Linked DNA regions of Sus scrofa. The protein of the gene in region 7 interacts with the protein of the main gene of each other region in a biochemical or structural test. Links are inferred from orthologs where the notes say so. Each region holds a gene or a part of one and is shown on either strand. Other genes may lie near its edges. The genes, in order: FGFR2, LAT, EEF1A1, ERBB3, WAS, PDGFRB and PLCG1.

Region 1 (3,500 bases), on a different chromosome or scaffold from region 7:
CTCCAATTCAATCGCTAGCTTGGGAACCTCCATATGCCATGGGAGCGGCCCAAAGAAATAGCAAAAAAAAAGACCAAAAAAAAAAAAAAAAAGACGGTCTGGGACGGTGCCAGGATTGGGGGGCCCCATGTCGCTTTCTGTTCCTTTCGGTGCTCTCTCTGGGCCAGCTGAGGACTGCCTGCCTGTGCCCCTGGCGTTGGGCACACAGCCACTGCTTATCGAGGACACGGATGGGAGTGTGGGGCAGGACGTGCACGAATGGAGTCAGTTCCACCGCAGGAGATGAGACCACTTGTTCGTACCTTTGGGCTTCGGCTTTTCATTTCTTTTCTTTTCCCTTTTGTTCTTTTTGGCCGCATCCACGGCATGCGGACGTTCCCGGGTCAGGGATCGAACCTGCACCACAGCAGCGACCTGCGCCACAGCAGTGACAAGGCCGGATCCTTAGCCTGCTGCGTCATCAGGGAATTCCCTATTTTCTTTTTATAACAAGGGATTAGAGGGCTTGTCGGGGCATCTTAGAAATGTATCAGGAGACACTGCATTCGGGTGCCATTTTGGAATTCAGGGTGACCTTGAAATTAGTCTTGTCACTTCCCTGGGATGTCAACCTATGATCAAGGTGAGTTTCTGGTATCGTCCCCAGTGGAAACTGGGAGGAGGCCTTCTTTCCCCCGCCATTGGTCTTTTTGATTGTCACCATAAAACCTTATCCCTTGTTCACTAGGTGGCCGTGGCCATGGACCACAAATGACTTGAGATGGAATAAGGTCTTAGTTTTCTAAATAAGTATTCCTTTTGCAAGGGTCACGCTCCCGCCGTCTGCTTTGAAGTCGTCGTTGTTATGCGTTGGGCCGTGGTGTTATTTCAAAGGAGTCAGCCAGCAGACTCGAGGCCTTTTTGGCTTGAGTTCCCGGGCAGCTTTCTGGACCACACCACTCATTTGTTCTGTTCGTCTCTGCCCCCCTCCCATCCCCGCTCCCCCTCTCCTCCCCTCTTCTCCACCAGAGCGATCGCCGCACCGGCCCATCCTCCAAGCCGGACTGCCGGCCAACGCCTCCACCGTGGTTGGGGGCGACGTGGAGTTTGTCTGCAAGGTGTACAGTGATGCCCAGCCCCACATCCAGTGGATCAAACACGTGGAAAAGAACGGCAGCAAATACGGGCCCGACGGGCTGCCTTACCTCAAGGTTCTGAAGGTGAGTATGGCCCGAACCCAAAGGTACCCACAACCGGGCGGGTGTGTGTGTGTGTGTATGTGTGTGTGTGTGTGTGTCTCCTCGATGGGTTCGGCCCCAGGTTCTTTGAATTTGATCGAAGATGACTCTCCTATGTGGTCAGCACAGGGTGCATTCGGGAATTAGCAGATCGTAGGCTCACGAATAAGATCTCAGAAGGGAGCTGTGCGGGGAGTGGGGAGGGCTGCTGAAGTTGCGGTCAGAAGAGCTGCGTATTTATGACCCTGAGATCTTAGATGAGACGGTTAGGCTTAGCTGCGCATCTTTAAAGTGGAGATCAGGATACTGTCTGCCCCACAGGGCATGGCGCAGAGTCAGTGGGATGGAAGAGCTGGAAAGAGCTTTGTAAACTCCAGGCCTTGTACCCATGTGCATTGTTACACTGACCTTGTTTTCTCCTAATAGGACTTTAGGATCCAATTTTAGTAGCCACCTTTTAGAAACAATTTAGATTTTCCTTTTACAAGAAATCCTGGAGTTCCCATCGTGGTGCGATGGAAACGAGTCCGACTAGGAACCATGAGGTCATGGGTTCCATCCCTGGCCTTGCTCAGTGGGTTAAGGATCTGGTGTTGCTGTGGCTGTGGTGTAGGCCGGCAGCTATAGCTCCACTTGGACCCCCTAGGCTGGGAACCTCCATGTGCTGTGGGTGTGGCCCTAAAAAAAAAAAAAAACAAAATCCCTTAGCCTTTGCAATTGATTCACACATGGTTTAGATGATAAACTTTAGACGATATTCCTACCCAGGGCAGTGTTGCACAGGGACTCATTCTTTCCCCTTGTAGTTCTCACTTGGTTCCTTGCAAGACCCTGTGTTGAGAGCACCAGCATCTTTAATTTTTAGATCTCACTCTTCAGGATGGTGGTAGCAAAAGCGGCAGCTAAGTGTGTACGAATCCTTTTCAGTTCGCTGCCTGCCGTGTCTCCCACATTGAGCTGCTCCTAGAGAATGTCCTTAAAAAGAACAGTCTTCCAGTAGAACCACAGGTAGCCCAGCCCAGCTCAGAACTCTCAGCCAATGAGGTGTTCTCTCCAGCTGTGAATACCACGAATCCAAAAAGCTGGAAAAAGATGACCAGCCTGGGGAACTGCGGATCCATTTTGCACGGGGATTGATCCCAGCCGCCCACCCGTCTCCACTGGGTCACTTCTGCTCTCCACCGGTTGACTTATTTTGTTCTTTCTAAACCCACAGCCCTTGTCTGCTGCTGTTGAGATGAGATGGAGGTTGTGTTTTTTTGTTTGGTTTTCGTTTTTTTTTTGTGGTGTGTTGGTGGTGGGACCCTAGGTGCTGCGACATCCTTGCTGGCTGGCCGTCATATTGTTCTCCTGTGTCTGTTCTAGCACTCAGGGATAAATAGTTCCAATGCAGAAGTGCTGGCTCTGTTCAATGTGACTGAGGCGGATGCTGGGGAGTATATTTGTAAGGTCTCCAATTATATAGGGCAGGCCAACCAGTCTGCCTGGCTCACTGTCCTGCCAAAACAGCAAGGTAACAACGTTTTTGTTTTTTGTTGTTGTTGTTTTTTTTTTTTTCCTTTTTCTTTTTTTCTTTTTTCTTTTTTTTCTTTTTTTAAAGAAGGCTGGATGATAGCAGCTGAAAAGACTTGGTGCTTTGGGAGACTGAAGGCGGCTTATAGGATAACTCTGTGGTCTTGGTATATTCATCATAATCTTTCTTTGGTGCTGCAGCTGGTATGATGCCAGCAGCCATGGAAAAATGCCCACAATGTTCAAAGTGCTTGCTCTCATTTCTTGTAAAGATTATCCTCCCCACCTCCCGCCACCCAGTTTTTAAGTTGTTCCTTCTGGTTTCTCTTGTTTGGGCTGCACAACTCCTGTCACCCCTGCACATCAGCACCCTTGTAGACACACACACTGGCAGGCCGATCGGATCTGTGACATTTGCTCTAGCAGCAGAAATCATACCTCCTCTGCCCTAGGTGTTCCGAGAAATATCGGCACCATGTCACTCCTTCAACAGAGCCTCATTTTCTTGGTTGCCTAACTGATACCTATGAGATACTGTCCTTGACCTTGTTATCCCAAATTCGAGGATGCACCGTCTCGCCGAGTCAATGTGCTGCTGGCTGCCATTGAAGACAGCAGGTTGGCCTTTTCAATTTGTCATGACTCACATTCAAAGGTTGATATTAAAAAACAACAAGAAGAAACAAGTCCCATTTCATTGCTCCCAAGATAAGACTTCAGCCATTCGCTTTCAATGCAATGTATAGCAAGCTGGTTATGCAGGAGCGAAAA
Region 2 (3,975 bases), on a different chromosome or scaffold from region 7:
ACTAAAGCAGTGAATTAAAACAGGGCCTGTGGTACAGGAAGGGCTGCCAAGCTTCTGTTAAAAAAAAAAATAACTGTACCGATGGGGCAAAAGAGGGCCAGGCGGGGAAGGGCCAGGCTCCAAAGCAGCTGGGAATTGTGTGGTTTAATAGTAATACGTTAAAACACATAACACTCTTAGCAGGGCACATAGGACGCCCTTGACAATGTCAGCTCTTATTTATCATGACTGTACTTCATGATAAATAAGAAATACACCCAGGAAATATGATGATTATATCCAGGCACCCAGGAAATATGATGGATGAACGAATGAGTGAATGGATATAAGTGAATATAAGCCCTTGGACAGAGAAGTCTGGGGCTCAGGAGAGAGGAGGTGAGTTAGGAATCTGGATGGCAAATGAAGCCGGGTGTGGACGTGATGGCCCAAAACAAGTCGAGAGAGAATACAGGAGAGACAGAAAGGCGGGTAACGGGGCACTAATGATGATGAGACCTCGACAAAAGCCTCTAACAGGCAGGATGAGACTAAAATGAGAGAAAAGCAGCCCAAGGGAAATTAAAACAATCCAGAAAGCAGAAGAAAACGAACCCCCACAACCCCCCTCAAAAGACCACCTACAATCAACATCCTTATCGAATTACGAGATGATATTGCCTTCGTGAAACAAGAACAGGAGGCTATGAAAAAGGAACATTCAGAGATGAAGAAAGGTTTTGGACAGGCCAGACAAAATAAAAGCATAGAGTCCAAAGAAGAATCAAGTCAAGGAAATCTCACAGACAAGAAAGGGAAAAGACAACGAGAAAAGAGGAGAGAAATGGTAAGAAAATCAGAAGATGGGAGCCGGAAGTCCCCTATCTGAAGGACAGACGTGCCAGAAAGAGAGAAGAGAGAAAATGAAGGGGGAGCAGGCATCCAGGAGGAGAGGGAAGAGCCAAGGGCTCGCAGCCCAAGGGCAGGGGGTGGTCAGACGGCAAACTCACTGGAAAAGGCGCTGTCTCGGAGGCCGGGCTTGTTGGACGCAGGAGCTGCTGGGACCGTGGCGCCAGTGGCTGGGACGCTGTCGGGAAGCACCACCCTGAGGAAAGTCAAGGATGGGGTGAGCAAGGACCCCCCGGCTTCAGCCCCTACCTCCCACCTGGCCACTCACAAGTAGCCCTCGTTGTGATAGTCTTCCTCATCCTCGTCTTCGTCCGCATCCTCACAGACTGGCTCTGGGGGGAACGACACAGGGTCAGCAGAGCCCAGGGCGGGCCCTGGCCTCCTCCCAGCCAGGGCCGCCAGGATCGCAGACGCACCCTCGTTCTCGTAGCTGGCCACACTGTTGGCTGCCAAGAGAGCGCGAGAGGGAAATCAACTCAGCTCAGGCGGGCCTGGGCTCTGCCCAGCCCCAGCCCCTGGGCCCCGCGCCCCGCTTACCACCATCTGAGTCCTGCCGGGAAGAAGGCATGCGGTGGGAGCCTCCGGGGGGCTGCGGGGATCGCCTAGGAGTCAAAGGTCAGTGGTCATGCTGGAGTGGGGCTCTGGGGCAAGAGGGACTGCGACAGGCTAAGAGGCCCCCATTCCAAGGAGGCAAGGGGCCGCAAAGGAGGATTCAGAGGGAGAGAGGCTACTTACGGGATGGGGAGCAGATCTGGCTGGCTCAGGGGTGGGTAGGAGGTCATAGGCGGGTAGGAAGTGGCTGGTGGCCAGGGGGCAAGTGTGGCTGAGGACACAGGACCAAGCTGAAGAAATGACTCCAAACATCATGCCCTTTACCCGAGTCATGGCCTCAAAGGGCAGACTGACCCCCAACACCCCTAGGCCCTGGGGTGCCCCCATCTCCTCCCCATCCCCAGCTCAGGTCAAGGCCATGTGGGCAGCCATAGGGGGGAACTAAACAAAGGCACATACTCTCCGGCACCAGGGGACCCTCTCCCCACACCCGAAGGAGGGGCCCCACCGTGTACTTACGAGGCCGCTTGATCACGATGCTACTTGGGGTCAAACTAGCGGGAGAGACACGGCTTGGCTAAGTGGCTGCCAGAGGCCCCAGCCCCCGCCCCAGTCCCCTCGGGCCCACCGTGGGTATTGAGGGAGACACACACACACTGGGTCACCTGGGCAGACTCACCTATCGGGGGCAGCAGTGTCATATGAGCCTGGGGAAGAGAGGGCTGGTGAGGCAGGAAAAGGGGGTGACGGGGGCAGAGGGAGAGGGACCCTGGGGTGCTCGGCGTCTCCGAAACAGTTAGAGACGATTAAAGAGGGATGAAGGGGTTGGGGAGTGGGGTGAGGATCCCTGGAGGTGGGGGGTGTCTGGGCATCCAATCACCCCACCAGCACCCACTCACCTGGCAGCTCTCGGCAACGCACACACAGTGCCATCAGCAACACGGCCAAGAGGGGCAGCAGCAGGAGGCCCAGTGCGTAGGGGATCAGGCTGACCGCCTCCATCTGCAGGAGGGGGCTTGGACCTGGCCTAGCTGCTCGCTGCACAGCCCTCAAGAGCAGAGCTGCTGCAGGGCGAGGGCCAGGCCAGCAAAGGGGCAGGGGCCAGGCGGGCACCAGGCTGGGAGCCTGGTAGAGGGGCAGCCGCGCCCCCTCCCCTCAATGGGCTGAGTGGGCGGCAGCGCCGGTTCTGGAAGGCCCTTGACCCCAGGGAGGTCAGGCCAGGCTGGGCTGGAGTCTGGGGCACCAGGCGCCCCTATACAGACCCTGCGCCCCAGCCGTACCTGCCCCTGGGCTCTGCGCCCGCCTCTCTCAGCGCCTGCCCGCCTGCCTGCCTGCCTGCCTGCCCGCGGCAGGAAGCTGTGGTAAGCGCCGGGTGAGGGCAGGAAATCATCAGGGCTCCTCAGCCGGCTGCACCCGCCCCCTTCCCACCCCCACCCAGCCAGAGGGGAGGGGAAGGAGGCCTCAGGAGCCACCACCCCCACCACCGGGCCCTCCAGAAGGGTCTTCTGGTCTCCGGACAAGAGGCAGCTCACAGCAGGGAGAGAAGGGGAAGATACTTGCAGGCTGTGGCCGCCGTGGCCTCCACAGCCAAGGCTCAAGGAGGCAGCGAGGAGGGAGGCTCAGACAGCGGGACCTCTGAGGGGCACAGGGCAGTGCCCACCCCCACCTCGCCCTGGCCGGCCTGCCAAGGGCGGGCGGGCTCCAGGGAAGACATGGGCGTGACTCATGGTCACACGAGCCAGCTCACTCCACCCCCTCGTTCACCAGCCCAGAAGGACAGGGATTTGCCCAAGGTGCCACAGGAGTGACCCAACGGCCCCTGGAAAACTGGGTCTAGAAAGGGGGCGTCCCCTGCCATCCAGAGGTCAGAGGTCACTAGCACCCAGAGAGACTCCAGCAGGCACTTGGGGTCTGGCTACAAATTTTATTCAGTTACAAATAGCACCGAGCCCCTGGGGCTGCTCCAGTGGGGATGGGGAGCATCCCCTCTTGGCTCCCCATGTAGTGCGTGGGAGCCGGAACATGGGCCAAGCCCCTCCTAAGAAATGGGCCAGGCTGAGAGCTTGGGCCCAGGCCCCTCCTGGGTGGGCCCGGGGCCAGCCGTGGTGGGTGTGCAGGTAGCAAGCGGTGACCCCCCCTCAGATGAGCACACTGGACACGGGGACCCGGGTGGATCGGCCTCGCTGGGGCACCACGATTCGGTCATCGGCAGGCCCGGCCTCAAACAACAGACCTGCCGGGAAAGGGAGCAGAGCCAGGGCTGGATGCACAGACAGACACAGGGCCAGGAAGGGGACACACAGGCAGGGGCAGATGGACGGGGCAGCAGAGCCACCCGTGCTACGGACACAGAGGAGCATCAGCTTGTGGAACAGCAGATGCGACGCCCGAGGAACAGGAGGGCTGTGGACTGAGAGCTGCCAGGTACACGGGGCCAGGCGGGCGGAGAGATGGACAGACAAGCAGGGGGCATCGTGAAGTTAGACGAGGGGCTGTGGACAGACAGAGGGGAGGCCCCACTGACCCTGTACGTGC
Region 3 (4,225 bases), on a different chromosome or scaffold from region 7:
ATTTGCTTTTAACTACTTCCCATTGCTCTATATATTAGTTTCCCTTTTCCAATTAGATTGTGGGTTTCTTCCCCCAAAGGAAGTATTTCTTTTGCATATGCTTCGGAGCCACTCTTAGCTCTGGCCACATAGTAGGTTCTCAAATATTTGTTGATAGATTGGCTCAAAAAGTTGCAGTAGTGCTCTACACGTGGAAGAGACGATCTAGTAATTAGCTCATTTAAAATAAAGGTTCCTCTTTCTTCAGGAATATTTTTGAATATCTGCCTGATTGCCAACCAAAAAGGCCTCATCTTGTCTTGCCCTGGATTTATGCCTAAAATGCAGTCACAATGGATAGGACGACAAAAGATGAAGCCGTTTATTCAAATGGGATAGGCCATTTTTGAGAAACAGTGATTTCACAGCAAACGTTGGAGTAGTAAATTGGGTGGATAAGCTTCCTGGCGCTGTAGATCTTAGTCTCTACTTGAGATCGTGTATAAGCACTGAACTCAAAAAATTCTTTTTAGGTTTTTCATGCTTGCAACCAAGAGTATACACTGGAAAAAAAATGTTAATAGGAGGGTAGACACACACTCAGGGTCTTAAACGTAATAAAATTAGGATTAGAAGTAAAGAAAACTGTAGTACTTAAGTCTATTCTAAACTCAAAAACTGGACGTCTGGAGTACCACGTGGTGTGTAGAACGAACTTAGATAAAAGAACTGAATGGAAAAAGCCAAGAGGTCAGCGCAGGAGCCTGTTCGCCAGGCTGTTGGTCAGCAAACTGAGCCACTCGCGGATTCTCGGCCCTGAAGACCGCCCCGAGGCCCCTGCCGCCGCGGTTCCCCGGCCTTTTACGCCTCCCTCTCCAGCCGGAAGGGGCGCGGACGGCAAGGGCGGTGGAGAAGCCCCGGCAGAGGAAGCGGCTCCAGGGGTTAGTCCTTAACCTGCGAGACCGCAAGACTGAGGACCGGTGGGGTACTGCCGGGTAAGGGCTCCCATCTCGGTCCAACTTTGCAGTTAAGCTACGACCGGTTCAGGGAAGATTCTGGACGCCTCCCCGCCGCCCCACCCCCCAGCTGTGCGGAGAGTAATTCATACAAAAGGAGGACTCTCCTCAGCCAGGGAAATCCCAGGGACCGTCGATAAACTCCCACTAAACCTAGAACCGAGTGAGCGCTCGACCCCGCCTCCCACCCACCAGCAGTCGTCATCCTCCTGGTTGAGAGGAGCATGCGCCGGGCGCCGTGTGCTCGTCAGTGGGCTGAACGCACATCGCCCACGGTCCCCGAAGATGGGGGGAGGGGACGGCGGTGGAACCGGTGCCGGGTGGAGGTGGCGCGGGGTAAACTGGGAAAGTGGTGTCGTGTGCTGGCTCCGCCCTTTTCCCCGAGGGTGGGGGAGGACCATATATAAGCGCCGTGGTCCCCGCGAACGTTCTTTTTCGCAACGGGTTTGCCGCCAGGACACAGGTGAGTACGGGTGTGGCCTCCGTCCGCATGGCCTCCGCCGGTGGCCACGGCCTTAGCGTGCCTCCCGGCCCCCCGCGCGTAGAGGGCTCTGCGCCCTGGTCCTGATTCCGAGCTGCGGGCGGGGGGAGGTGGAGAACTCGAGGCCCTCCGCTCTCGCGGTTCCCTACCGCGTGCCCGGTGGCGGCCTGCTGGGGCGCCGTGGCCGCCGCGTGCGATCCGCGCCTTCGCGCCCGCCCCGTCTGTCTTCGCGCTCGAGTTCGGCCGGCAGCCGCGTGTTACTGCCAGGGCGGCCCAGCCGAGGCCGCCCAAGGTGGCCTCCGTGCCCGGCGGTCCCGGGGCAGACGGCCGCGGCGGGGCGGGGCGGGCGGTCGGAGACCCAGCGCCCCGCCCGGGCGGGCTGCGAGCGCGGAAAGATGGCCGCTCCCGGTCTCAAGATGGAGGACGCGGACGGCGGGCGGCGCACAAAGGGCCGGGCGGTGCTGCCCGCGCCGCTTCCCGGGACTCGCGGCCCGGGTGGGGGAGGGGCTGGGCGCCGGGGCGGCCCCGTTCGCTGGGTGTAGGCCGGGCAGGGCCCGCAGGGCGCCGGTGCTAATGCTCCCTGGAGTTTGCCCTTGGCTGTTGGGGTTGTGCCTGAGTCTCCGGTCGTCGGGACAGTAGTTTAAAGAAGGTTTTTGTCGTCTTAGGTGTCGTGAAAGCCATCGCTAAAAGCTAAGCAAAAATGGGAAAGGAGAAGACTCACATCAACATCGTCGTCATCGGACACGTCGATTCGGGCAAGTCCACCACTACTGGCCATCTGATCTACAAATGCGGTGGGATCGACAAAAGAACCATCGAAAAGTTCGAAAAAGAGGCTGCGGAGGTCGGTAAAGTAACGTCAGCAAATTAAGTGGTAGTTCTCTAAAACTAGTGTATATCTGACTTGAACTAGTACATTGCAAAGTTTGCTAAGTGGCTTAACTCCAGCCAAGTTTAGGAGATGGAAGTGAAACCTAGCATTGCTTCCAAGTGGGACTAAGGAGTTTAGTTACCGAGTAACCCTTCTTAATCCCTGCAGATGGGAAAGGGCTCCTTCAAGTATGCCTGGGTCTTGGACAAACTAAAGGCTGAACGTGAGCGTGGTATTACCATTGACATCTCCCTGTGGAAATTCGAGACCAGCAAGTACTACGTGACCATCATTGATGCTCCAGGACACAGAGACTTTATTAAGAACATGATTACAGGCACTTCCCAGGTTTGTAGGATTAAGAACTCCTGAGAGTAACATTTTGAGTTATCTATAAATTGGCGAAACCATGGATCTGTCCTTTTTGGAGAGGTTTTCACAGGGTGTGGCCTTTTTTTCTTTTTTAAAGGCTGACTGTGCTGTCCTGATTGTTGCTGCTGGTGTTGGTGAATTCGAAGCAGGTATTTCCAAGAACGGGCAGACCCGTGAGCATGCTCTTCTGGCCTACACCCTGGGTGTGAAACAGCTCATTGTTGGCGTTAACAAAATGGATTCCACTGAGCCACCCTACAGCCAGAAGAGATATGAAGAGATTGTAAAGGAAGTCAGCACCTACATTAAGAAAATTGGCTACAACCCTGATACAGTAGCATTTGTGCCAATTTCTGGCTGGAATGGTGACAACATGCTGGAGCCAAGTGCTAATGTAAGTGGTTTTGATGAGTTCTCAAAACTTAAGTCTGGGAAGGGATAAGTTTGAAAACACTAATTGATGATCTTGTGTTTTAGATGCCTTGGTTCAAGGGATGGAAAGTCACCCGTAAAGATGGCAATGCCAGTGGAACCACACTGCTTGAAGCTCTGGATTGCATTCTACCACCAACTCGTCCAACTGACAAGCCCTTGCGCCTGCCCCTCCAGGACGTCTACAAAATTGGTGGTAAGTTGAACGTTACACTCAGCTGGTATGGGTTGCAGTGATGTTTGTCTTCATACGAGATAATTATGCTGTGCTGTGAATACTTCAGGTATTGGTACAGTCCCTGTGGGCCGAGTGGAGACCGGTGTTCTCAAACCTGGCATGGTGGTCACCTTTGCTCCAGTCAATGTTACAACTGAAGTCAAGTCTGTTGAAATGCACCATGAAGCTTTGAGTGAAGCCCTTCCTGGGGACAACGTGGGCTTTAATGTCAAAAACGTGTCTGTCAAAGACGTTCGTCGTGGCAATGTGGCTGGTGACAGCAAAAATGACCCACCTATGGAAGCAGCTGGCTTTACAGCTCAGGTAACACTTCAGTGACAGGTTTTTAAACTGCCAGAACCTTAACTGTCTAAATGTCTAAAATGTGCTAAATGCAAATTTTCTCCCTAAGGTGATTATCCTGAACCATCCTGGCCAGATCAGTGCTGGTTACGCACCTGTGCTGGATTGCCACACAGCTCACATTGCCTGCAAGTTTGCTGAACTGAAGGAGAAGATTGATCGTCGTTCTGGGAAAAAGCTGGAAGATGGCCCCAAGTTCTTGAAATCTGGTGATGCTGCCATTGTCGATATGGTTCCTGGCAAGCCCATGTGTGTTGAGAGCTTCTCTGACTATCCTCCTCTGGGTAAGAGTGCCTTTTTAGTGTAATTAAGCTTCAGTAAAAATGGAAAAGCAGTTATGTAGAGAAAGTGTTTCTCATGGTGATTTAATTTTTGTTTTAATAGGCCGATTTGCTGTTCGTGACATGAGACAGACAGTTGCTGTGGGTGTCATCAAAGCTGTGGACAAGAAGGCAGCTGGAGCTGGCAAGGTCACCAAGTCTGCTCAGAAAGCT
Region 4 (4,099 bases), on a different chromosome or scaffold from region 7:
AGTGGGAGGCAGGAGCGGGAACGGAGGAAGGGAGATTGGTGAGGCCCCAAGCCCTCCTCCAAGATGCACCCCTAGTCTGCCCACTTGACCTTTGAAGGCCTTCTATTCCCTGTCACACCTCCTAAAGGGAATGGGATGAGCTAGACCTAGCAGAGGGGTAAAAAGGCCAGGCGCTCCCAGAGGAGCCTGGGAATGCTAGGGTCCTTGGGCTAAAAAGAAAACGACTAGGAAGGTTAGTCATTTCTGGAAAAGCCCCACCCCAACCCCCTTCCTGGCAGGACACCCTCTCTTCCAAGTCAAGGCGCCAACCCTTCTCCCCTGATAAGGGAGGAGCCAAGATTTCCACACAGGGAAGCGGGATGTGTGCGTGTACACACACACACACACACAGACAAACATGTACACAGCTCCCCTACTGGCCCCAAAATCTCTACTGGTTCTGTCCTTGGGCTTCCTTATCAGGAAGTATTTCAGGTGGCCCCATCCATCCCACCTGCCCATATGTGTCTGTGCAGACTTTGTGTCTGTGCTTGGGAGGCTACAGAGTAAGATGTCCCAGTTCCCTGCCTCCCTGAGGGTAAAGTCCGTATTACACAAACAGAGAGCAAAGGGCTGGGTGGCTGGGCGGGAAGAGAGTATGAACAACACCTCTCAGGAGGAACTGGGCAGCCTGGGGAGGAGGGGAGGGGGAGGGGAAATAGACCATCTCTGCTGTACTCAGGGACCAGGGGCCTTGGGAGAGCCAGTGTCACAGGCCCTCTTTTGGTAGAGAGCACTGGGGTGGGTCAGAGCAAGAATCTCCAGCCCCTCTTCAACCACAGGCCTCCTCTCCAAAGTCCCCCACCCCCATCACAGGCAGGACAAAGGGGCTATAGAAGGACTGAGACAGGGCCGGATGCCCAGAGGCTGCAGGATCCAGATAAAGGGTAAAGAGACCCAACCATGCCTGCCTCCTGTCTCCCTCGGGGAAGGTGGCCAGGGTCTGGGACTCCTGGGTTCCCGGTTGGGTTGAAGATTCCAGGGGTCTGGATGGGACAGTGATAGAGTCCCTCCATTCAGTCTCTCCCACTTCAATCCCCAGACCCCCACCCTCCACCAGCTGGGAGTGTTCACATCTCAAGATCCCAGGCTCTAAATTTAGGCCCAGCAACTGTGAGGGAAGCACAGGTGTTTCTCCCACTCCCACCCTGGGGAAGGGGCCCTGGCTGTGCCAAACCCCAAGCTGAGGTCTGGGGGGGAGGGGAGGAGAGCAACAGGATTCCTCCCATGCCAGCAACCCCAGCACCCCTCAGGTGTCCACGGTCCCAGAGACACCCCAAAGGGGTGAGTTCAGCTGGCATGGGAGTAGAAGGAGGAATAGTGGAGCAAACTGACTCTTGTCTAGACTCCTAGAGACAGCCAGACAATAAACAGAATGGGGGGTGGGGGGGAAGCTGTGTCTAAGAAGGAACTCGGAGGACAGGCGCCTCAGAAGATGGGAGAGGAGCCCTGTGGGCCCTGAGAGAGAAACAGCCACTGGAAGTCCTTGCCCCTTCATCTCCTGGCCCAGGGCTTTGTACATAGTAGATGCTTAATAAATACCAGTTGAATTGATCGGGGTCTTAAAAACAGGTTGGTCGAGTCTGGAACCAGCCAACTTTTATTATTTTGAGAGAAAGGAGGCAGGCAGTGTTTGCGTGGCCTCTCAACCTGCTGTCACCTGGACTTGGCCCTGGGGTTAATCTCAGCTCTCCCCAGGGCAGACCCACTCACGGAAGAGGAGGTGCTGCTCTTGTTTTCCAACACAAGAGAACAACAACCTACCCCCCCCCACACACACACCCCTTCCACAGCTCCGCCCTGTCGGCAAAACAACCAAACTGGAGGTGGTGGAGGGCAGGAGGGGGCAGGAGGGGGCAGGAGGATGGGTGCAAACCGAGACCCCCTCTCCCCGCCCGGCTCCCTCCAAGATCTCCACCTCCAATCAGGCCCTCACGTTTACAGAATGGGGGTCCTAGCTCCCCTTCCTGCAGGGTCCCTCAGAAGTGTGAATGTTTGCGCATCAGCCCTATCCCGAGAGACAAATCAGAGGGTCCGCGACGGGCCAGGGAGGAGGTGCCCAGGGGAAGGTGGTGGTGCAGGAATCCTCTCCCCGCCCGGACCACGCCGAGAACCCGATCCTGACGTTCCCCGCCCAGGAGGGGTCCCAGCGGACCGGGGCTCCGCACCCCAGCCTAGCACAGCCCGGGTTCCTGCCCCTGCCCTCCCGGACCCCGCGCGCTCCGCTCGGGATCCCGAGTTCCGAGCCTGCCGGTGCTCCCGCGCCGCTTACCTGCCTGAGAGTTGCCCACCTCGGAGCCCCGGGCCAGGCTGAGGAGGAAGCCCAGCACCTGCAGAGCCCGGTTCGCCCTCATGACTCCAGCGGCGGGTGAGGGGAGCCCAGCCCAATCCGGCCGGGGGAGCCCCTGGACTAGGACATCGAAGCGGAGCCACCTGAGCCACCAGCGACTTGGTAGCGGCAGCAGAGGAGGTTGCGAATTGCAACCGGAGCCGGAGCCGGAGTCCGGGGCGGGATAGCAGGGGAGGGGTGTAGTCTGCGAGGGAGCGAAGGAGGGAGCGCAGGGGGAGGGGGTGAGTCACGGCCGCGCCCCCTCGGGCGCTAGGCTGGAGTAGCGATTGCTGGAGCCTCGGCGGCCCGCCCCGAGCGCGCCCCAAGCTCCAGTGCCGGGCAACTGGGGCCACGCAGATCGCGGATGGGTCTCACCCTAATTTTTCTCCAGGAGCTGGACTAAGGAGAGGCCAAGATTCCAGCCGCCCCCAAATGCCTCCCGAGGAGAAAGGTAATGGGGGTGGGGAGAGCGCTCCAAAGCCCAGCCCCCTGCAAGTTGGCCTCGCCCACCAACCAAATCACTCAACTCCCCTAGCCGGTTGGGTCACTTGGGGGATTTTCTATCTGAATGTAAATGTTTCTCTGCATGTGTGTTTTTGAGTGGGAGGGTGTTTTTGCCGCCCACTCAGGCCACCTCAGTTTCCCCCAAACCCCCTCGAAACCCCATAACTCATCCACCCTGCCCAGGAACCCGAGCCCCAGAGGCCGCGTGAAATTGCACTGTCTCCGGCCGCTTCCTCCTCCAGACCCGGCGCCGGCCGGGCCTCTCCCGGGGATTTGGTTGGGGGGCGGGGGTGGCTTCCAGCCTGGGAACAGACCCCGAAGCCCGCCTTTTCACTTCCACCCCGGGAGGGGCTCCCGCACCTGTCGCCGTCCCCTCTGTTGCCCCCCACGGCTGCCTGGAAGAACAGCTGCCTCCCCTTGAACAAGAGTCTGACCGCGCCGTCGGAGCGGTCGCGGTCCTCGCCGCTCTTCGGGGGACCCAGATGGGCACACCGTTCCCACCACAGGCGCTCACACTTTTCCCAGGCCTTCTGTGCCCGGGTGTCGCTGGAAATGAGGTGGAGGGGGACGCGGAAAGGGCACTGCGTCTCCGAAAGTCATGAACCTCGGGCACTTCTACCACCAGCTCCCCGGATCCTGTCCAGAGGCGGTCCGGCGCACCCAGAGTGGCAGCCCCCAAGCCAGCCAGACTTCAAATGGATCCAACCGGCACCCCCTGGTGCCCAGCAGGTGGCAGTGAGGCCCCAATCCGCGTTGCATTTCGGATCTTGCCCAGAAAGCCTACTTTTTTCTCCTAGAGTTTCAAGCCCGAAGACTTCAAGAACGGTTGAGCCTTGATTAAGACAAATTCAACCTCTCACCCCGAGTCAAGATTACTGGCTAAAATTCTTTAAACTTGCTCCGTATTGAGATGCGCCCTGGAGGGCCCATTCCTTGGCGGAGGCTACCTTTGCCCTCTGGGCGTTCACCTTGCCCTGACCACTTACATAACAGTCATAATAGTAATAGAAACATTAACATATATATACGGAAACTACGTCGTTTGCAGCCCTTTCCTCCAACTTAGAGAACGTTTCACTTAACATACAAATTAGGTGAATTAGGGGACATCACTCTCCATTTTACAGAGCTGGAAATGTGGGACTATTCCAAGGTCATTCATTTGCCACCTGGTGAGGATGGCTGAGATGATAAGATGATCAGAAGGGGGAAGGCACTCAGGTTTTT
Region 5 (3,500 bases), on a different chromosome or scaffold from region 7:
TCCCCCACCCCCCAGGGATCCATGGGCCCACTGGGGAGAGGTTCTCACTTGAATCCGCTGGGTGCACCAATATCAGCCTTGCTGATCTTTTTCTTCCCTGAGCGTTTCTTATCACCTGGACCAGGCCCCGGGGTCGGGAGCCCACGGTATCGTGAATTTGTGATGTCTGGGTTCTGGATGTCCACTGTCACCAAGGACAGTGAGCTGCTTCCTTGACCTGTGGGGAAAATAGGGGGACTGAGTCATTGACCCAACCAAGCAAAGCACAGGCATAAGAGACAGGAAGATAGCTGGGAGAATCTCTGTGTCTGATGGTTGTGGAGGGAGGGGGTGAGGGGGTCCAAGTAGGGTTTATGGAGAAGAGTGTGGTTGGGGCCCACAAACCATCCACGCATTCACTGATTCATTTATTTATGTTCACTCACGCTTATCACTTAAGTATCAACTCATTGATTCACTTGCTCATGGACTAATCTGTTAAATTACTTGTTCATTCATTCATTCATTGCTTTCTCCACAGATTGAAATTTTTTTCTCACTTGTAAATCCCAAGATGCTTGGGATTAGTCCTTTTTTTTTATTATTATTAAGGTGTAGTTGGTTTCAATGTTGTGCCATCCACTGTTTGCAATTTTTTTTTTTTTTGGTCTTTTAGGGCTCCACCCATAGAATATATGGAGGTTCCCAGACTAGGGGTTGAATTGGAGCCTATACCACAGCCACAGCAACACCAGATCCAAGCCGCATCTGTGACCTACACCATAGCTCATGGCAATGCCAGATCCTTAACCCACTGAGCGAGGCTGGGGATTGAACCTGCATCCTCATGGATGCTAGTCAGATTCGCTTCTGCTGCATCACGACAGGAACTCCACTGCTTGCAATTTTATGTCACTCATTTATTCACTGTTGAATTCAGTCACTCATTCAGTCAATCATCCATCCATCCATTCATCTATTTATCCCCATACCCATTCACCTGTATATCTTTTTTTTTTTTTTTGTCTTTTTGTCTTTTCCAGGGCCACTCCTGCAGCATATGGAGATTCCCAGGCTAGGGGTCTAATCAGAGCTGTAGCCACCAGCCTACGCCAGAGCCACAGCAACGCGGGATCTGAGCCACATCTGCGACCTACACCACAGCTCACGGCAATGCCGGATCCTTAACCCACTGAGCGAGGTCAGGGATTGAACCCGCAACCTCATGGTTCCTAGTCAGATTCGTTAACCACTGAGCCATGACGGGAACTCTCACCTATATATCTATACACACAACCTGTACATCTATCTATATTTTCATCCTTCCCTCAATTCCTCGTCCTATTCAATCATTTGTCCACCACCAATCCATCTAACTACACATCCATTCACCTACTCATTCACCCACTTATCTCTGTACCCACCCACTTACTCACCCATCCACCCACTCCCCCACCCACCTGCCCACCCAGAGACACAGGGAAGAATCAGCACTCACCCCCTTGGTCTCCACCTGGGTGCGGGGGCACGGGTGGGAGCGCTCCTCTTCTCTCTGGGAAGATGGGATGGGTAGAGAGCCATTGCAATCCTGCCACAGGTTCCTGGGCCGGGCCCTTTTTACTCCTAATTGCACTCGCTAAAGGACTCACCTTCATTGGCTGGTGTGGGTGGAGTGGGGAGCTGGCGCCTGTCTGTGGAGAGACAATTCGACTGGGAACCAGAACCATGATGGGGGCTTTTCCAGCTTCCCACTCTTTTTTTTTTTTTTTGTCTTTCTGCCATTTCTTGGGCCGCTCCCGCGGCATATGGAGGTTCCCAGGCTAGGGGTCGAATCAGAGCTGTAGCCCCCGGCCTACACCACAGCCACAGCCACGTGGGATCTGAGCCGCGTCTTCGACCTACACCACAGCTCACGGCAACGCCAGATCCTTAACCCACTGAGCAAGGCCAGGGATCGAACCCGCACCCTCATGGTTCCTCGTCGGATTCATTAACCACTGAGCCATGACGGGAACTCCCTCCAGCTTCCCACTCTTGCACTCACCTCTGGGCAACCTCTTCTCCTCCCCCAAGGCCTGCTCACCTCCACTTTGCCTCTGATTCCTTTTTTGGATCTTCTCGTGCACCAGGGCCCGGAAGGCCTGGGCCTCGCCCTCATCTGCAAAGTTCAGCCCCGCCTGGCATTCCTGCACAGGCCTGGGGGTCAGCAGCCTTCCAGGTGCACCCTGCCCCCCACCCCGACCCCTTTCCCACCTCCTCCCAGCACCCCGACTGAGGCCCCTGGGGGTTGGGTGGTCTCTTACATCTCCAGCAAAGGTGTGGAAGAAGGGGGTGGGCGTGGAGTAGACCAGCTGTGAGTACAGCTCCTGTTCCCAGAGCAGCCGGCCGGCCTGGAGAGGCAGGGAACATGCTGGCACTGAGGCGTAGTATACAAATTTGGGGTCCTGGGATCTGATTTGGAGCTTTCTAGTTCAGCATCAGAGAGTTGAGGGACTAGATGTCTGGGGCGGATTGGGGTGCACTATGGGAGTCAGATACTTCAGTGAGAGGATTTGGGATTTGGGGGTTTGAAGGTGAGGATTGAGACTCTCAGTCTAGGAACCTGAGCCCCTTTGCAGAATCCATCCTGAAGCCTGCCCCCCTTTATGGGGGGGCCTTCGTTTGGGCAGGTAGGGTGCCAGTATTGGGAACTGGGTTGAGATTTGAGGTTCAGACCTATAGACTTGGGAGGTTGATTTTTGTCTTGGGGGGTAGCCAGCCAAGTTATGTGCAATTTGAGGTTCATAGAGTAGAGTTATGGCTTTGGATTTGGGTCAATATTCGATGGCCCTGGGATTTTTTTTGGGGGGGGGCTAGTGTGCAGCAGCTTGATGTGGGATCTCAGCTCCCAGACCAGAGATTGAACCCGAGCTGCAGTGGTGAAAGCTCTGAATCTTATCCACTAGACCACCAGGGAACTCCCAGCTCTGGGATCTTGATGTGGCTCTACTGAGTCTATCTTCATGGGTTTAGAAGAATGAATTTGGGGTTTATGCTTAGGGAGTTGAGGTTGGGGATTTGTGGAACAGATTTCTGGCAGTATTTGCGTGCTCCGGAGTTTTCACATAGGAATTCTGGGGTCCATGCTGTGGTTTTAACAGAACAAATTTGGAGTTCAAGACTCAATGGCATATTTAGACTGGGGGGTTATGGAACAGATTTATGACTTAGGAGCTAGGCAAAATTCTGGAGTTCAGGAGCTTTGAGTGGGAATATTTTTTTTGTTTTTCTTTTTAGGGCTGCACTCATGGCATATGGAGGTTCCCAGGCTAGGGGTCGAATCAGAGCTACAGCTGCCAGCCTACACCACAGTCACAGCAATGCGGGATCTGAGCCACATCTGTGACCTACACCACCGCTCACGGCAATACTGGATCCTTTACCCACTGAGCAGGGCCAGGGATCGAACTGGCACCCTCATGGATGCTAGTTGGGTTCATTAACCGCTGAGCCACAATGGGAACTTCTGAATGGGGATTTCT
Region 6 (3,283 bases), on a different chromosome or scaffold from region 7:
GCAGGGCTGGGCAGGGCCTGGAGGGGACAGGGCAGAGGGCCCCCAGGGGCTCCTTTACGGGAAGTCCCAGCCTGTTGAGGCTCTCACCAGCCTGCCCAGCCCACCTAAGGTCCTCAAAGGTCAAGGGAGCTCAGCTGCCTCCTCCATCCACCGGCAGGAACAGGTTCTCACTCCAGGCAACTCACTTCAAGACCCGCCTCGCAGCGCGAGGACACCCGCACACAGACACACAGCACTGCCTCGGGCGGCAGGTGGGAGCTCTACCTGGCCAGGCTGGGGGCGCCCTCCAGCGGGCCCTCGTCGGCCACCTCGGGCTTGGGGTCGGGCAGGGGGATGATGTAGTCGTTGTCACCCTCGTTGGGCTGCACGGCCGTATAGAGGACGGGGCTGCTGTCCAGGGGGGATCGCAGCCCAGGGAAGCCGGGCAGGCGGGCTTGGGACCGGAGCACAGCTGGGTGGTCGCTCCTCAGAAACTCCTCATCCACCTGCTGGTACTTCTGCTCCCGGGGATCAGACCAGAAGTGCCGTTAGGGGTCGTCGCGCACTCAGACCCTGACCCAACCCGCCCCTCTCGTGTAATAAGGCGCCCGGTGCTCCGAGAGGAAGGACGGCCCTAAGCCACGGGGCTGAGGTGCCCTCGTCCCTGGCCTCTTGCAAGGCCGGGGAGCTCCAGGCCACCGGGGAAGGGGCAGCTCTCAGACCAGCACCCAAAACCCTAGCGCCGCCCACCCGCTCTCCCGCCCCCCGTCACAGCAGACAGGTGCGGGCCCTCGGCCTGCCGCGTCCTCCCCTGCTGGGGCCGCGGAACGGGGACACCCCCCCTCCCTCCCACTGGTCCCAGAGCCATAACCGACGCGGCTGGGAGTGGGCTAAGCCGGGACTGAGGGTGAGGGCTGGGTCTGGGCCTGAGGGCACCTGCATCTCCTCACACTAGCTTCGCAGTCGGGCAGGGAGGGTTTTAAGGCCCCGCTGACTCTGACTGCGTTGGATGAGCCTGCGGCGGGGTCCAAGCAGTCCAGGCCTTAGTGCTCATGCAGCCTGGGGCTGCTCGAACTGGTGGAGGAGCCAGGATTTGGGCGGGGTGCCAAGGCAAGAGGAGGAGGCCGGCTGAAGGGGCTGAAGGCTCTGCCTCCACCTCCCATCAGCTTCCACGTAGGCTTTTACTTCAAAAGTCTCTGTGCTGCTCAAGTAAGCTTCCGGCTCCAGCCCACCCATCATCAGCACCGCCAGGGAGGCCGAGGCCCAGAGAGGTAAAGGACGGTCCCCCAGACACGAGCACGTCTTGCAGGGCCTGGCCCGGGTCTGCTTCTGGACCGGAAGGCTCCATGCCCCACCCGCACCCCGCCTCGACCCACCTTTTTGTAACCCTCGCCCAGGAGTCTCTCGAGAAGCAGCACCAGCTGGGAGAAGGGGGGCCGAATCTCAAACTTCTCTTCCCAGCACTTCTGCATGATCTCATAGCTGGGGAGGGGGCACAGCGGTCAGCGTCGGGGCTCCCGGGACTAGGTGAGGACGGGAGGAGGGCGAGGGGCTCCCTCGGGCAGCCTCCCACCACCCCCGCCCCGGTCAGTGGCTCCCCGGGCCTGACCACGCCTTGGTGAGCCGTGACCCAGGAGGGCCCGTGTGATTCCACTTGAGCCCCGGCAGCCAGCTTGGGGCCTCTCGTGGGAACTACGGTGAAAGCGGCTGGGATGGGATCGTGTGGAGGGTGCCAGCCTGAAAGTGAGGCCAGCACGGAGGACGGCAGGGTCCCGGGGGGACAGAGATTGTGGATGCCGTCATGGGCACACCTGGGGCTGGCTAGACCGAGGGTTTTCTAGATCGCTGAACCTAGACGTGAGTGCCCAGCTTCAGCTGGCAGAGGCGGCTGTCCGTCTACTGCTGGCATCAGAACGGCTTCCCAGAGGCGCCACTTACATCTCATCCGAGGCGTGGGCAGGCTGTGCCATGCGGTAGCCCCGCTTGATGGCGTTGTAGAACTGCTCGTTCATGGGCAGCTCTGGGTACGGGGTGCCACCTGTCGGGGAGCAGAGACAGGAGACACAGGCCCGGGGGTCGGAAAAGTGGCAGGAACCCTCTTCTACGAGACAGGGAAGGGTACGCCAGCCCGGCGTGGGTGCAGGTGCAGTGGCCTTGGCATTGGGAGATGTGGGCCCCCCCACAGGCTCTGGACAGAGCCTGCCTCCCTCCCCAGAATCAGGGACCCAGAGGACGTCACTGTCCAAACCCGCCGAGACTCGGACGGGGTGGCAAAGAGCCCAGAGGAGGCAGGACGCTTGTGAGGGTCACACAGCGACAGAAAGAGGCAGAGCTGGGGCCTGACCCAGGGCCCCGAGCCCGGCCCCCAGCCCGGCCCCCAGCCCGTCCCCGAGCCCGGCCCCCAGCCCGACCAGGACGGAGGAGTGCGCGGCCAGGGGGGGACGGCAGGACGCGCACCCAGGGTGAAGATCTCCCAGAGCAGGATCCCGAAGGACCACACGTCGCTCAGGGTGGTGTAGAGGCTGTTGAAGATGCTCTCGGGGGCCATCCACTTCAGAGGCAGGAAGGTCTGTGGGGGGGGGACACTGAGTGCAGGGGGGGGCGCTGGGGGCCGGGAGGGGAGGGGGGGCCGGGGGCGGGGGCGGCCTGGCAGTCCCCACCCTCAGCGCTCTCTCACTTCCCAGTCCCTGAGGGCCCTCCCAGCTGGTACCCGGGTCCCACGCCCACCCAGTGCTGGCCCGGGGCGCAGGGGGCGGAGCTTGTTCCCCACATGTTGGGGCCAGAGCAGCCCCTGTCTGCGGGGAAGTGCCCAGGGCCTGAGGCTGCTCGCAGAACGGGACCCTTCCCCACCCAGTAGAGACCCTGGGCTGAGTGAGGCGGGGGTGCCTGGGGCTCCCAGCTCTCGGCCCGTGCCTCCGGGGCCCAGCGTGACCCCAGCTCGTGGCAGGTGGGGACATGAACAGAAGGCACGTTTGAAGCACACGCAGCCTGCCTTACTCATCTGTTCTGGCCTGTTGCCTGCGCTCCCTCTGCTCACCTCCGCTGCTGGGGCAGCGCGTCTGGCCTGCTCCCTGCAACCTTCCCAGGACCCCTTACGACGGGGCCCTTGGCCGAGGCCGCAACCGGCAAATCCCAGCCGCCCCACCACGGCCCTGGCACCTCTGCCCCACCCACCCCACTCCGAGCACAGCTGGGGACGCCCGTCGCCGTCCCTGCACACAGCGCTGGGCGGGCCGACTGTCCCTGCCTACCCGGTCGGGCCACCAGGAGCCCTGCCCTGCGGGCCCACGAGCCGCAGCCACAC
Region 7 (3,500 bases):
CCTTGTCCCTGGGGGTCAGCCCTGACTCTTCCCGACTGCCCCTGGGGTGAGCCCCCTTTCCTCCTGGGCCGGCAGCAGGACAGGGTGGGGGCACGCTGGCCAGAAGACGTCATTTTTTGCCGCTCCGCCCCCACACCTCCAGGGGGGGGTCTGTCAGACAGGACCTTCCTCGCTTCGCCTTTTCTTCTGAGGGACGAGGAGCTGTGTTCTGCCCTCACCCCCTTTCCTCGGCAGCCCGGGAGCCTGCGGGAGTCTCTTGCCTACTTGGCAGAGGAGGAATGGCGGGGTCCCAGCCACACCCCAAGGTCCCCTGGTCTCAGGGGAGGCACTCAGCACCCACAGACGCTCCCTTCCCAGCCTCCCAGCCTGACGCCCGGGGCAGGGGCTTCAGGGTTCCACCCAGACCCCATGGAGCTTCCCGCAGGCCCAGGGCCAGGACTGCAACGAGGGCGGGTTTCCGGCAGTGACAGCCGAGCCCAGGCACACGCGTGTGCGCAGGTGGAGCAGGGAGGGCCTGTCCGCCGTGCTCAGCGCGCCTCTCCCCGCAGTGTGCCGTCAAAGCGCTCTTCGACTACAAGGCCCAGAGAGATGACGAGCTGACCTTCACCAAGAGCGCCATCATCCAGAACGTGGAGAAGCAGGAGGGAGGCTGGTGAGGTGGCCCCGGGTTGAGAGCCTTGGTGCTGGCGGGGGTCCTGGGTGCCCATGGGCCTGCGCGGGAGTTTGGGGTGGTGGCTGGGGGTCAGCACCTTTATGGCTTCCACAGGTGGCGGGGGGACTATGGTGGGAAGAAGCAGCTGTGGTTTCCGTCCAACTACGTGGAAGAGATGGTCAGCCCTGCGGCCCTGGAGCCCGAGAGGGAGGTGAGAGCAGAGCCGTGTGGGTGGGGCAGATCCCCGGCACACGTGGCATCGGGGTGCCTGTGCGCACAGCCCCCTCGTAGGTGGTCCCTTCAGGCCCCGTGGAGCCTTGGTCGCACGTACCCGTGTCAGGTGTGTGTTTCACACGCACAGACGCCCCTCCCACATGTGTACAGCAGACTGGCTGACTCTCTTGCTTTGCCTCCCACAGCACTTGGACGAGAACAGCCCCCTGGGGGACTTGCTGCGGGGGGTCTTGGATGTGCCAGCCTGTCAGATAGGTGAGCCCCCGGCTCGCTCTCTTGTGCACTGCCCCTTGGGGTCAGGCCCCTGGTGGCTCTCTTCCTGCCCTGAGGGAAAGGGACGAAGGCCAGACCCCCAGAGGCCGCTCTCATTCTGAGATCTCCCCATCCCTGGGTACCACCGCTCCCTCTGTCACCCCTGGCTGTGGCCCCTGCCTGCTCGTCCCTTGCAGGCACTGTGGATGACTGTCCCACCTGACGGCGGGTCCCGGGGTGGGACACAGGCTTGGAAGCAGGGTGGGGAGGGGCACAGCACGTGGTCAGGGTGGCAGGGACTTAGTGCTGGGATGCAGCCATTCTCGGTTGTGAAAGGGGCCTGGCAGACGGCACCCCCTCCCCATGGGGGGAGAGAATTCATTGGAGCCAGTGCCCGGGGTGTGGGGTGGGACCCAGGCACATGTGTCCTCAGCTCTGCTCTTCTCTCCCTCCCAGCCATCCGTCCTGAGGGCAAGAACAACAGGCTCTTCGTCTTCTCCATCAGCATGGCGTCGGTGGCACATTGGTCCTTGGATGTGGCTGCTGACTCACAGGAGGAGCTGCAGGACTGGGTGAAAAAGATCCGAGAGGTGGCCCAGACCGCGGATGCCAGGGTGAGAGCCTGCTGGTGGCCCTCAGACCACAGGAGCCTGGGGTGTGCAGCCCCTGCGCCAGGCTGGGAGCAGAGGAAACTCACGCCTGGTTGGCGGTGTGGCAGGCTGAGGATGTGTTGAGTTGGAGGCACCCATGGGACACTCAGGTGGCTCTGCTTAGCGGGCAGTTAGATGACAGGGGCAGAGGTGGAGGATGAATCTGGGCTGGAAGCCGGAGTGGGTGCCCAGGGCTTAGGGGCAACGTGGTGTGGGACAGGAACAGGGCGTGACGTTGGAGGACGTGGGTGTGGAGAACGAGGGGCTGGGAAGGGTGGGCCGGCGAGGCACAGGGTCTGATGTGTTGAGGGCTGCGGAGCAGAGCCTGAGAGCGCCCGTGGGATTTGGCAGCAGCCGTGTAGGCAGTGGCTGGGCGGGCATCACAGAGTGTGGGAGGCCAGGGCGCAGCCTCGGGAGCAGGGAGGCTCGTCCACTGAGCCTGGGGTTGAGGGGGAGGCGCCAGCCTGCGGGAGTGCCTGTTTGATGCCACCCCTGTCATTTGGGGTCGGGTGCTCGGACTACAGTACACACCTGGGGCTGCTTTGGGACAAGGACAGCTCAAGCTTGGCCAAGAGGGGTGGGTGCTAAGGATTTTGTCAAGAGCGGAGCCTGGAAGGAGGAAGTGGTTGCAGGGATGGATCCTGGGGTCTGGGAAGGAAGGAAGAGTCGGAGAATGAGTCCCCCCGTCTGGAAGGAAATGGGCCTTCCGGGGGCACTTAGGAGTGGGCTTCCCAAGCTGAAGTCTGGCTGTGGCCAGCAGGTGGTTGTGTTGAGTGAGGGGAACTGAGGGTGAGCTTCTGGGCCAGGAGAGGTGGAAGGAAGGTTCTTAGGACACAGAAGACCAAACCCGAGTCCCCAGTGAAGTCACAAGAAAACCAGGAGGCAACCTTTGTTCCTCAGAGAGGCTGGGTACTAAGTGGCCACAGAGCATGGCTGGGGGTACAGTCAGCCAGGACCCTGGGGTGTTACTGGAGCACAGGTGTGCCCTCTTAAGTCTGGCAGGGCATGTGTCCTCGGGGGGCAGGAAGAGAGGGGACAGTTCTGAGATGTGACTGAGGACAGGGAATGGGGTCTGGAAGGGGCAGGTGGGTGTGCCCAGGGCTCCCCTTTCCCGGGGGGTGGGGGGAGGTCTCCCGCCTGGCTCAGGGCCTGTGTGTCATCAGCTCACAGAGGGGAAGATGATGGAGCGGAGGAAGAAAATCGCCTTGGAGCTTTCTGAGCTCGTCGTCTACTGCCGGCCTGTTCCCTTCGATGAAGAGAGTAAGGCTCTGGCCCAGGTGGGGTGCGGGTGCAGCCCCAGCAGCACCTGGGAGGACGGGCCCCGTAAGCCCTCTCCCTCTTTGGCGCAGAGATCGGCACAGAACGCGCCTGCTACCGGGACATGTCGTCCTTCCCGGAAACCAAGGCTGAGAAGTATGTGAACAAGGCCAAAGGCAAGAAGTTCCTCCAGTACAACCGGCTGCAGCTGTCGCGCATCTACCCCAAGGGCCAGCGGCTGGACTCCTCCAATTATGACCCCTTGCCCATGTGGATCTGTGGCAGTCAGCTGGTGGCCCTCAACTTCCAGACCCCAGGTGAGGAGGTGGCCCGAGGGGTGGGGGCCCTGGGGGGCAGGTGGGCTGGAGTCCACCCTGTAACCCGACTCTTGCAGACAAGCCGATGCAGATGAACCAGGCTCTCTTCATGGCCGGCGGGCACTGCGGCTACGTGCT

What was found.
Region 1: the proteins of PLCG1 (region 7) and FGFR2 form a complex in vitro, tested with the Homo sapiens proteins (2 studies listed by BioGRID and IntAct). The link is inferred for Sus scrofa from reciprocal best matches to the Homo sapiens genes PLCG1 and FGFR2.
Region 2: the proteins of PLCG1 (region 7) and LAT form a complex in vitro, tested with the Homo sapiens proteins (2 studies listed by BioGRID and IntAct, with this or other methods). The link is inferred for Sus scrofa from reciprocal best matches to the Homo sapiens genes PLCG1 and LAT.
Region 3: the proteins of PLCG1 (region 7) and EEF1A1 form a complex in vitro, tested with the Homo sapiens proteins (2 studies listed by BioGRID, with this or other methods). The link is inferred for Sus scrofa from reciprocal best matches to the Homo sapiens genes PLCG1 and EEF1A1.
Region 4: the proteins of PLCG1 (region 7) and ERBB3 form a complex in vitro, tested with the Homo sapiens proteins (2 studies listed by BioGRID and IntAct, with this or other methods). The link is inferred for Sus scrofa from reciprocal best matches to the Homo sapiens genes PLCG1 and ERBB3.
Region 5: the proteins of PLCG1 (region 7) and WAS form a complex in vitro, tested with the Homo sapiens proteins (2 studies listed by BioGRID). The link is inferred for Sus scrofa from reciprocal best matches to the Homo sapiens genes PLCG1 and WAS.
Region 6: the proteins of PLCG1 (region 7) and PDGFRB form a complex in vitro, tested with the Homo sapiens proteins (3 studies listed by BioGRID and IntAct, with this or other methods). The link is inferred for Sus scrofa from reciprocal best matches to the Homo sapiens genes PLCG1 and PDGFRB.

The regions. Positions count from the first base shown.
Region 1 is NC_010456.5:131,219,002-131,222,501, reverse strand, and holds part of FGFR2 (fibroblast growth factor receptor 2 precursor), read left to right. Parts: intron 1-1,008; coding exon 1,009-1,199; intron 1,200-2,582; coding exon 2,583-2,730; intron 2,731-3,500. UniProt on the Homo sapiens protein: Tyrosine-protein kinase that acts as a cell-surface receptor for fibroblast growth factors and plays an essential role in the regulation of cell proliferation, differentiation, migration and apoptosis, and in the regulation of embryonic development.
Region 2 is NC_010445.4:18,637,817-18,641,791, reverse strand, and holds the start of LAT (linker for activation of T-cells family member 1), read right to left. Parts: upstream 2,801-3,975; 5' UTR 2,443-2,800; coding exon 2,340-2,442; intron 2,148-2,339; coding exon 2,120-2,147; intron 1,995-2,119; coding exon 1,960-1,994; intron 1,712-1,959; coding exon 1,624-1,711; intron 1,491-1,623; coding exon 1,426-1,490; intron 1,335-1,425; coding exon 1,157-1,334; intron 1,085-1,156; coding exon 990-1,084; intron 1-989. UniProt on the Homo sapiens protein: Required for TCR (T-cell antigen receptor)- and pre-TCR-mediated signaling, both in mature T-cells and during their development.
Region 3 is NC_010443.5:92,420,526-92,424,750, forward strand, and holds the start of EEF1A1 (elongation factor 1-alpha 1), read left to right. Parts: upstream 1-1,425; 5' UTR 1,426-1,458; intron 1,459-2,141; 5' UTR 2,142-2,176; coding exon 2,177-2,320; intron 2,321-2,515; coding exon 2,516-2,695; intron 2,696-2,816; coding exon 2,817-3,113; intron 3,114-3,196; coding exon 3,197-3,347; intron 3,348-3,435; coding exon 3,436-3,692; intron 3,693-3,780; coding exon 3,781-4,015; intron 4,016-4,115; coding exon 4,116-4,225. UniProt on the Homo sapiens protein: Translation elongation factor that catalyzes the GTP-dependent binding of aminoacyl-tRNA (aa-tRNA) to the A-site of ribosomes during the elongation phase of protein synthesis.
Region 4 is NC_010447.5:21,472,919-21,477,017, reverse strand, and holds the start of ERBB3 (receptor tyrosine-protein kinase erbB-3), read right to left. Parts: upstream 2,801-4,099; 5' UTR 2,394-2,800; coding exon 2,312-2,393; intron 1-2,311. UniProt on the Homo sapiens protein: Tyrosine-protein kinase that plays an essential role as cell surface receptor for neuregulins.
Region 5 is NC_010461.5:42,784,597-42,788,096, reverse strand, and holds part of WAS (wiskott-Aldrich syndrome protein), read right to left. Parts: intron 2,370-3,500; coding exon 2,283-2,369; intron 2,166-2,282; coding exon 2,063-2,165; intron 1,671-2,062; coding exon 1,629-1,670; intron 1,532-1,628; coding exon 1,478-1,531; intron 218-1,477; coding exon 49-217; intron 1-48. UniProt on the Homo sapiens protein: Effector protein for Rho-type GTPases that regulates actin filament reorganization via its interaction with the Arp2/3 complex. Important for efficient actin polymerization. Possible regulator of lymphocyte and platelet function.
Region 6 is NC_010444.4:151,158,536-151,161,818, forward strand, and holds part of PDGFRB (platelet-derived growth factor receptor beta), read right to left. Parts: intron 2,549-3,283; coding exon 2,437-2,548; intron 2,018-2,436; coding exon 1,918-2,017; intron 1,462-1,917; coding exon 1,356-1,461; intron 498-1,355; coding exon 265-497; intron 1-264. UniProt on the Homo sapiens protein: Tyrosine-protein kinase that acts as a cell-surface receptor for homodimeric PDGFB and PDGFD and for heterodimers formed by PDGFA and PDGFB, and plays an essential role in the regulation of embryonic development, cell proliferation, survival, differentiation, chemotaxis and migration.
Region 7 is NC_010459.5:43,837,503-43,841,002, forward strand, and holds part of PLCG1 (1-phosphatidylinositol 4,5-bisphosphate phosphodiesterase gamma-1), read left to right. Parts: intron 1-548; coding exon 549-652; intron 653-766; coding exon 767-863; intron 864-1,071; coding exon 1,072-1,141; intron 1,142-1,594; coding exon 1,595-1,752; intron 1,753-2,951; coding exon 2,952-3,048; intron 3,049-3,137; coding exon 3,138-3,362; intron 3,363-3,439; coding exon 3,440-3,500. UniProt on the Homo sapiens protein: Mediates the production of the second messenger molecules diacylglycerol (DAG) and inositol 1,4,5-trisphosphate (IP3). Plays an important role in the regulation of intracellular signaling cascades.